Oryzias latipes: one gene and its partners. The protein of the gene in region 1 interacts with the protein of each later gene in a pairwise test. Links are inferred from orthologs where the notes say so. Each region holds a gene or a part of one and is shown in the gene's direction. Other genes may lie near its edges. The genes, in order: heat shock protein beta-1, nvl and heterogeneous nuclear ribonucleoprotein D0-like.

What was found.
Region 2: the proteins of heat shock protein beta-1 (region 1) and nvl interact in binary tests that used the Homo sapiens proteins (3 or more experiments, as listed by UniProt). The link is inferred for Oryzias latipes from reciprocal best matches to the Homo sapiens genes HSPB1 and NVL.
Region 3: the proteins of heat shock protein beta-1 (region 1) and heterogeneous nuclear ribonucleoprotein D0-like come close enough for resonance energy transfer, tested with the Homo sapiens proteins (2 studies listed by BioGRID). The link is inferred for Oryzias latipes from reciprocal best matches to the Homo sapiens genes HSPB1 and HNRNPD.

Annotation. Positions count from the first base shown.
Region 1 is NC_019870.2:13,682,071-13,684,735, reverse strand, and holds heat shock protein beta-1, read left to right. Parts: upstream 1-774; 5' UTR 775-967; coding exon 968-1,340; intron 1,341-1,409; coding exon 1,410-1,473; intron 1,474-1,565; coding exon 1,566-1,725; 3' UTR 1,726-2,049; downstream 2,050-2,665. UniProt on the Homo sapiens protein: Small heat shock protein which functions as a molecular chaperone probably maintaining denatured proteins in a folding-competent state. Plays a role in stress resistance and actin organization.
Region 2 is NC_019873.2:379,739-383,496, reverse strand, and holds the start of nvl (nuclear valosin-containing protein-like), read left to right. Parts: upstream 1-1,468; 5' UTR 1,469-1,572; exon of another isoform or gene 1,573-1,734; intron 1,735-2,392; 5' UTR 2,393-2,414; coding exon 2,415-2,471; intron 2,472-3,758. UniProt on the Homo sapiens protein: Participates in the assembly of the telomerase holoenzyme and effecting of telomerase activity via its interaction with TERT. Involved in both early and late stages of the pre-rRNA processing pathways.
Region 3 is NC_019870.2:2,825,279-2,828,956, reverse strand, and holds the start of heterogeneous nuclear ribonucleoprotein D0-like, read left to right. Parts: upstream 1-825; 5' UTR 826-1,186; coding exon 1,187-1,353; intron 1,354-2,445; coding exon 2,446-2,614; intron 2,615-3,273; coding exon 3,274-3,435; intron 3,436-3,678. UniProt on the Homo sapiens protein: Binds with high affinity to RNA molecules that contain AU-rich elements (AREs) found within the 3'-UTR of many proto-oncogenes and cytokine mRNAs.

The DNA of each region.
Region 1 (2,665 bases):
GCGTTTTCCTTTCGATGACCCTAAAACACCTTTAAACTGATCTATGCTCATATTTTCATTGATTGCACACTTTAGACTTTTTTATATTCATTAGTAAACTAGCAATAGCACAGCTAAACTTCAGGCAATATTTTCTTTTAACATGTGCTTAATAACATTCTTAAGCAGACTGACATCAAGTCTGTTGTAACCTGGTGTGTCAAACATTAAAACCTGATAAACAATGAAATGTTTATGAGCAGAGTTCAGAAATATTCACGTTGCCTCCCTGATAAATGCCATTCCTCAGATAATTTATCTCACTCAAGCTCGGTTTATTTTTTGAACCCATGAAGATGTTTCTGTGAAATTCCACACCAGCTCCAGAACTCCATAGTCTTTCTCTCCATCTGTTTTTACCAGCTGTAAACACGTCTTTATCTTCTTCACCCTGAGATCCTGTTTGCTCTGCAGTTTTGCTCTTAAGTTAAGTTGGGAGGCTAAAAGCAACGCTTGTGTTTACCGTTTGACTTTTTGTGTGCTGCTTCACATGCAGCTGTGGTTTCGGTGGACAAAGAGCTCCAGTATGTGACGGGACTGCAGAGGCCATGGCTGAATGACACGACTTCTCCCTGCTTCCAGAATCATTCCCCAACAACTTACCGGAGACACTCAAAAGATATAAATACACATAATTGGCATTGTCCTCTCCGAGTCCCAGGGCAACAGGAGAGTTGACGCCCCGGCCCATCACATTTCATCCCTTACATCACACTTGTTAAAGCACAAGTGTGAAGAGGAGGCCGTTGGTTATATAAAGCGTGTGAGTGGATTGCTGCGGACTCCAAAATAGGCTTTTCCCCAAACCTCCTGCTTACTTACAGTTTTTGAGTTTCGTTTTGGTTGGTCTGATCTCGTCTTGCATTTTTCTGTCAGGTGGGAGCAAGAGCTTTTATTTTCAGTCTCCTTTTCTTGAGTTTTGAACCACATGGGTGATCAAAATAAAACACTATCCCGGCCCATATTCCGTCGAGATGTCCGCTGGGATCCTTTCCCAAACTGGACTCAGCCAAGCCGTATTTTTGCCCAGGACTTCGGCATTCCTCCTTTCCTGGAGCCCAATGATCTGGACTGGCTTGACTGGGCAAAAAAGAGACTGGCTTCTTTCTCCTGGCCGGGTTACACGCAAAGCCCCCTCCTGCCTCCCATCACGCCGGACCAGAAGAGTCTGAGACAACTGACTAGCGGTGTGTCTGAGGTGAGAACGGGGCAAAACAGCTGGAAGATCAACCTGGACGTCAATCATTTTTCACCCGAAGAGATCTCCATCAGCACAAAGGATGGCTACTTGCAAATATCAGGTACGTAGGCTTAATTTTTTTTCATTTTATACATAAAGATGTTTATTAATAATTACTGTTTTTTTTAAGGAACTCATGAAGAAAAGCAAGATGAACACAGTTTGGTTTCAAGATGTTTCACTCGTAAATACAAGTAAGGAGGCTGAGAAGCAAATTCGAGACACATTTAGGATGCGACCGTAACATATTTCTGTTTGTGACAAACGTTCTCTCATTTTTTTCGAGGTTACCACAAGGGGTGAATCTGCAGCACATCAGCTCATCCCTGTCCTCAGAAGGAATGTTGTCCGTAGAAGCTCCCGTCCCAGGAACATCCATCAGCAGCCCGGACAATGAGATCGTCATCCCCGTTCAGACCAAAAAGACACAGGACAGTGAGAAATGAACATAGTGAGCAGAAAGTAGCTCAAACTGTGCATAGCAGCAATTATTAAAATTACACAAAGCAGACTAGATTGCTTAAATTTAATGTTATCATTTGCTTTTTGGGAGATTTGAGACTTTTATAATCTAATTTAAACTTAATAAAAAGCAGAAATGGTATTGGATCCAATAAAACAAACCCTTGCTGTCCTTTTTAATTTTGTAATTTTGCACTAAAATTTTGTTTACTATAAACTGGTCTTTATCTTACTGTTCTTGTAGAATGATTGTATTATGCAATTTCAGCCTTCACAATGAAACAGAAATAAAATTTGGTAAAAATACATTTCTTTCACAGATTGTGGTTTTGTCACAATATTCATTCTTGCAGCTCAAACTTTTTTTTAACATGAAAACTTACACCTAAAAACAGGTCAGAGGTCACCAATTTTTTACAACCCATAATAACTAACAGTATATTGTAAGGATCAATATTTTAGGCAAGGACACGGAAAAAAGAATAGACAAAAAAAGTCTTTTTGTAGCTGTGCAGCAAAAATTTACTGTTACTAAATTTAAAACGGTGTGAAGTATGATATTGTTTGTACGAGGTTTCTGAAAATATTATATCATTACCTTGTAAAACAGTTTTAACTGCAAATTTAATAAAGATTTAAAGACTTAACTTAATTTTTTTACCTCTTAAAAACTCTACCTTAATTTGGGGGAAATGGAGACAGCACTCCAAAGTTATATAAAACAAAAATAAAACAAATCTAATATTAATAAAAAGACAAACTTAAAATTAAATTAGTTTTGCTCTTTCCCCCCCCTTTAAAGTTCTCTTTAAGTACAAAAGGTCAAAGTTCACTATTTATGCTGATCTTGATTTTAGCAAATTATCTATACAACACCATAAGGTCATTATCAGTTCCTAATAAATAATAAAAAAATAATAAAAA
Region 2 (3,758 bases), on another chromosome or scaffold:
TTCACAAACTTGTTTGCTTCTCTACTTTCTTGTTAAAAGCATCACTGTGGCCCACGTGCACATGTGCATTGGACCTCCTTTCAGTTGTCATCTTCATTAGAAAACTGTTATCTTCATGTCTTTGAAGCTGTGGATGAATTCTCATGTATTTGAAGGACATTTCAGTCAGATGTATCTATTAAATCTTAATATAAGGATACCTGCAGGTATGTGTACGTCTCTGATTTGCCCTTTGTCTTTCATTGAAATGGGTTCTGCTGGAAGTCACCCCACTCCTTGTTCACCCTTAGTTCCAAAGGCAGTCTGTTGTTTCTTTATAAAGGTCTTCATGTTTAGCAGCTTTTCTGAACTTTAATCTAAACTAAATTTGCAGATCAATGGTATGTCCCAGACTGATCCATCAGCTGCTGCTCCAGAAATTAATGAGCACTGTAGAGCTGCGTACACGCCGAACGCAAGTCGTGCGGCAGGGGCAGCCAGTTTGTTTTATGGTAAGTCAATGGTACAGCCGTGATTTTAGGTACTGCGGCGCAATTTGAGCTTCGGGTGCAGCACAAAGGTCTGGCTGCGCTGCCAGACGTCTGAATTTTTTTCAGGGTGCTGCGTCGCATCTACCAATCAGGAACTTGTTCTTTGGCACGTGACGTTTTCAGTTAATCGATTGAGAAGCCCCTGGCTGCAGTGTTTAGACAGAGGCGTGCCTCAACGTTTAACTCCGCCCACTGTATGTGATTTTTCGTCACAGTAAAGGTTGTCATTCCAAAATACAAAGTGTCTCATCTTTGTGAAGCTTCTTCAGTCATTAATGATCTGCTCTGTTTAGGAGAAAATCCTCTCAGTTCTCAGGTGCAGGTCGGTTGTGGATCCAGTTCTAGATGGAATTGTTTTCTTGCAGACTCAAAATTCTCTTTTCACATCATCAATTAAAGTGAAGTGCTCCCAGATTTGGCTTGTTTTTCCAGGATGAGGAGGGTGGTGTGTTTGTCAACTGAGCAGAAGCAGGGAATACAGATGCGGGAAAAAATGAATTGCATAGTCTAGTCTAGTGTAAGTCTATGTGATATATTTATATGATTGACACATCACCGTTCAGTCTGCCCGTAGCCATGAAGAAAAACGGCTGGTTTTTTTTCTCTAAAAAACCCCTCAAAGTCTTTATATCCAAAAATCAAAATAAATATTTTACTAAATTAAAAAAAATGTAAATGGCGAGCCTTAATATAATCATCTCAAGATACACTCCTGAATCTGGGAGGTGGCAATATTTCACCACGTGGAAACGCAAAATGGAGAAAAACACAGCAATTGCAGTGAAGAAAAATAACCTACAGTGGGAGGAGCACGACAACGCATTTAACCCCGCCCCACGTTGAGCCACACCTCGGCAGCCAGGGGCTTCTCCACCAGCCTGTGGAGTGTGGCGTACTAATAGGTCTTACTCACACTCCTTACCAGTAGGTGGCGGTAATGCCCCTCAACGCTGTGTGCCATACGCCAAAAAACACCAGAAGAAGGCCGAGCTTCCAGGCGCTGTCGGCTATTGCCTTCTTTTCTGGGGGTTCACGTGCCAAGGTAACGTCCTGCGACCCATGTGGTGAACGAAAGCTGGACCATTAAACCTCAAGTTCGGTTTCTTTCCCTCTCAGAAAGTGGGTCGGGTTTTTTTGCTGCCTTTAGTAATGTACGTAACGTCACTTAACGAACAGCACGAGGAGGACGGAGCATCGAAGTGAGGTATGTTCATGATCATGTCATGGACACGGTCCATCAGAGCCCTGAGGGGTTTTAACGAAGCCTTTGCGTGTACGTCGTGAGCTTTTCCTACCCGCATATTATTCTAGATAAAGCCACCCAACTGTCCTTATCAGATAAACTTACCTGAATGAAGGATGTAAAGTCGTAAAGACAGCAGGGTACAGTACAATCAACCAGATTGATCTGAGATCAAATCGACCTATATTTTCAAAATGAAATGCATCGATAATCGAATCCTCTTGGAAAATACTATCTAGATTGAGGCATGGTAGGTTTATTTTACTACAACACACATGTGATGTCATTAACACGGATCCGTCCATCATTCCAGTCCAGTGTGTGGACAGACTTTGAATAAAGTCATGTGACCATCCAGTGTCTAGAATGTTCTAGAATGTTCCCTTTGGATTCTTTGGATGTGGAAAAACAACAAAGGGGAACTTTAGGAAACTAACATGTGAATGGATTTGACATTTATTTTTACATTCATTCAAGTCAAAGCAGAACGGCTGAGATGTCGATTGATCAATCATTTTGCATAAACTGATGGATCTCTGCTGAACAGAGACTCTTTTTGTTGGTTATTTCTGATATTATGTTTGTTGGATTTTAACTTTTCTGAGTTTACTTCTTTCAGTTGTGAGGTTTCTGATGAGAAGATGAAGAACAAAAGTAGTGGCTGGACGGACAGCCGCCTCAGGCAGCGGGTGGAGCAGGTATAGACCCCACCTATCACAGCCTTGTTTGCTCCCATGGTAGATTGCAGAAGAAATATCCAGAGCTTTTCTACCTTGAGTAAGGCCCACAGCTCTTACTGTTAAGGACCCATTCACCAAAATGCACACACTCATTCACACTAGGGGTGTCCTGATCAGATGTTTTTGGGCCCAATGCAGTTCCAAGTCATATGACTCTGAGTATCTGCCGATACCGAGTCCTGATCCGATAGTTCTGTAACACATTAAAAAAAACGAACAAATTTAATAAACAGATGATTTTTTTTTTCTTTTCTTAACCTTTTTTTACCTATTAACACTTAAACATAGAATTTCTGTAAAGTAACTCTACAATCAAGTAGGAATAGTGTAACTATCAAGTAGTAAAAATAGGTTACTATTACCTAGTAAAAACTGGTGATATTTAGTCATGTGGAGAAAGTGTGACTTTAAAGTGACTTTAGCTTTAGTATCTGCAGAACTATTGAACATTTTTGATCAGATGTGATTCATATCTCCATTAAAATTTGTAAAAAACATTTTCTTTAACAATTGTAGCATAAATATGATGATGAGTATTAATGTCAATGAAACCATTTATTAGTTTTGGTTGTACTTTCTAGACAACATAGGATTCTTTTTGAACGTCTTAAGACCAGACATCAACATGCGTGGACATCACATTTTGGGTTTTATTACCAAAGCCATTAATTGTGCTTAACAGGACCCCAAGAAGAGAAATAAAAAGGATTGGGTCTTCAGGGGTTAAATGACCTTCTCCCACAGGAGTGTCTCACTGAGTCTGTTTTGGCACCACAGAGTGCCGTTTCTATTAAAAAGAAGCAAAAAATCTCTTAACATGCTTTGTTGGTTGCTTTTTGTGTTAAGACCACTCAATATAGACACTTGTCGTCAGTTTAAAACGTTTTTTGAAAAGGTTTTAATCCCAGAAGTCTGAATCTGTGAATATCTTACTAGTTTAGCTTATATTATGTTAGCCTAGCTAAGCTTAGCTGTTTTTGAGCAAACTAGCACCACAATAAATGTGCTGATCTGTTCATGATATGCAGACTTCCAGTAGAGCATTTACCTGGAATATGAAGCCTGAAATATAAAGCGCTGATAACAGGAATAAATTAAATGTCTGATACTGTTCAAGCTACAACATCCAATTTTGATCGAGTCATCAACCATGTGACCGGGCCCGATTTTCAATCAGGTGATCGGATTCACACTAAATGAAGGCAGGTCTTCCGTCAAGTCACTAACCAGACCAAAAAAGGTATT
Region 3 (3,678 bases), about 11 Mb from region 1:
GTTATAAATTCATAAAAATACAGTTACAAAAACAGATTTCTTGATAAATCAGGTATAAAACTGTTTTTTTGCACATTTTAAAAGCTAAATGTAATATTTTTTTACAACTTTTTGAAGCCTTTGTTTATCATTATATATGAAAATTGTTGAATTATTTTTCACAATTGTACAACTTTCTTCTCACAAATTAGATTTTTCTTCATAACTGTATGACTTTGTTCTCATGTTGTACAAACTAATGCTCCTAACTTTTAACTTTATTTAATAATTGTATGACTTTATTTTCATACATATGTCTTTTTTTCTTCTTTGATGGTGTCCCTGATGCGCCATCATGAGTGTCAGTGTTAGTATGATTTTTGATTTTGATAAAGTTTTTCTTCTGGTTGCTCGTTTGCTGAGCAGTTTTCCTTTCCTTTCATTTCAATTTCAGAATTTTATTTTTGTTTTTGTTGCCTAGCATTTTTAAACAAAACAATCAAATATAGAGTTGGTCATGCTTTTTATTTATTTATGTATGTATGTATTGATTGATTGATTGGTTTCTCCTAAAACCATTTCCATTATTTTGGAGAGAAAAAAAGGTCCAATACTAAAAGTCTTTCATATTTAGATTTAGAACTGTATCTAAAGATTTTTAAGATGAAGATAATTGGATCTTGGAAAATTAGGCTCAAAACTAAAACAACAAATCTCTTTATTTATTTATTAATAAGAGAACAATTCATTTGAATAAAGTCCCTTTTAAAAAATGTAAAATATTCAATTATTTACAAATTACCCTGGTGTTACATCTCCGCTGCAGCAGGTGGCGCTCTGCACTCAAATGCTCACTTGGGATTCGCAGAAGTAGACAAACAAGAAACGACTGGCAAGAAAACTAAAATATCGGATGAAAAAATATCCTTTAAAATTATTAGAACTGAAAGAAAATTATATTTAGAGATCAAGGCGTTTTCTTTATCTATTTAAATTTTGAGATAACTTCGAATAAGTTGAGCTAGCCTCGTCCTGTTTTTGAACATCGGCTTTTGTTATTTGTTATCTGTTAGCAGCTAGCAACTATCTTGGCTGTTAGCTTAAAATAAATCGAATTTTTTTTGGCTCAAAATTACTTTTGATTTTTTTTTTTCCGAAAATCATTTCATTAGAACTAGCATTTGATCTTTTCGAGAAAAAAGTGAAGATGTCTGAGGATTATGAATTTAGCGAAGACCCGAGTATGATGAGGATGGAGGAGGATGGAGAGGCTAACAATGACGACCCCATGTCAGCTCAGGGGGATGGCGGCCTGATGGGGGACGAGGCCGAGGGATCAAGGATCGACGCCAGCAAAAACGAAGAAGATGAAGGGTAAGTTTATCCGCGCGGGGAGCCTTTCATACAAACATACTCCCAGAGAGACTTCTGGGACATACAGCTCGGATGACCGGGAAAGCTCCTGCACGGTTATCCACGGCACTGTTGATCCATGGACGCACATTTGTTGTAGTTATTTTCAAATTGTTTTATATTTGCGGCAACGTTTGGTGAGTTCCAAAAATGTATTGGCGTTTATTTTGATTAGGATTATACCGTTTTAGCTAAATAAAAAAAACCTGTCTTTTTGTAAGACTTAGTTTCTGCAGAGCGGCGGGAGTTTATTAGAAATTCACCTCTAAATTGTGGGCGGGACCATTGGCACAGACCCCCCCCCCCCCCCATCACCCTAACTGAGAGGTCTCTATTCACAAGCCCTCCTGCTAGCTTATGGCTTCTCACAACCCCAAGCTACCATTAGCGGGGCAACAAATTCAGATCCAGATTCCAGCTCAGACGAGGAAAACAAAGCTTTGCAGATGGATCTATTAGTCTGTATGTAAGTGGATGCATTAGAATGGAGAGGAGCAGGGAGGTTGTGGCCCCGCCCAGCGTGTTTTTTCTACATCACAAATATGATCTTTTTCAAACTCTTCGTCTGCCCCTGATGCACAACGATTTGAATAAAGAAATACTCAGAAACACAGTCTAAGCTTAATTTTACCATAAATGTCGTCCATCATCAGAAAAATGCTACAAGAACATGCTAAAAATACCCCAAACACCTTTTTCATTAGTGGGTCTTTGAAGTTCATTTGAAAGTTTCTTTGTTTGTTTCGGGGAGCAGCAATTAACTGTGGCTAAAAAACACAATAGAAAAACATAATTTACATAAAAACATAAATTAAAAAAAAGGAAAAGCTGCCAAATTTGACCCTGTGGGTTCTTCGGGGTCATATAAAAACAAAGAGGCTTTCTTCAGTTCTTTCTGTTTCACTTCTTTCATCACACTGTTCACTCGTTTTATATTTTATGAATGAAAATGCCAGCAGCAACCCGAGGAAAGATTCTTATAGTTAGGACTTGGGTCACAACAAACACAAACTTATACCACGGATCTCCTTCCAAATGTTTTTTTGCTGGCAGGAAGATGTTTGTTGGAGGCCTGAGCTGGGACACCACGAAGAAAGACCTGAAAGATTACTTTGCAAAGTTCGGGGAGGTGGTAGACTGCACATTAAAGCTGGACCCCATGACCGGACGCTCCAGGGGCTTCGGCTTTGTGCTCTTCAAAGACGCCGAAAGTGTGGAAAAGGTTCGATTCTGTTCAATACCTAAATGTTGTTTTTACTGGGGTGGTGTTGAAAAAAACAGTCTGATCTAATCAAATGTCTCTCAGATCAAGGAAATTTTCTTGTAAGCACTGTCTTCTGTTTTGACTTTTTTAAAAAGCAGCTTTTTATTTTTTATTTTTCAAGAATTTCAAACATTCAAGAATTTATTCATAAAACGTTCACCTTTGTTCAGTTTAAATCAACAGATACGTGCAGATTAACTTAACTCATTTAAAAAAAGTTTGTTTCACAACTTTTTTGAAATAAATACATATTTGTTCGAATCACACTGAATTGACAATAAATCAGTGAAGCAGTTTAACATTTAACTGTTTCAGCTCCAAGTTCGTCTTTTATTTTGGAGGCTTAGTCATTTCCTTCATGCGAAAAAAAGCAATAATATTATTTATCAAATAAATTCAGAAGATTTCAGACAAACTCATGAGTGAACACGTCAGCCTTTTGAAATATTTCTTTACGTTTGATGTTGTTATGAGCAGCAGATTTCTGTGGAGACACGCCTCAACATTTTCCTTCTATATTCTGTTTCTAATTATTACATCAGCTTTGATTTTTTTCTTGTTGTTGTTGTGTCATTTAGTGAGTTTTATTTATGTATTTGCTGCTTTCTGTTCTGAAGGTGGCGTCACAGAAGGAACATAAACTCAACGGAAAAGTCATCGACCCTAAAAAAGCCAAGGCCATGAAGAGCAAGGAGCCGGTGAAGAAAGTCTTCGTTGGTGGTTTGTCTCCAGACACCCCAGAGGAGAAGGTCCGAGAGTACTTTGGTGCCTTTGGAGAGGTTCGTGTCGTTTTTTTTTTTACTCAGCTTAAACCAGTTTTTATCCTTTGACACACTTGATTTACTCTTTTTATTTATGAACTTTCAGAAGTTTTGCGTCCAATTTGAGACCTAAAGCGTAACTGCAGACCCTAAACTGTGTAATTCTTCTGTATTTTTCTTTAATTCTCGTCATTAAATGTTGCACTCTCGGCTTCTGTGCTTTTGTGAAAAACGCTCTCAGGGGTTTTCAGGTTTATTTTT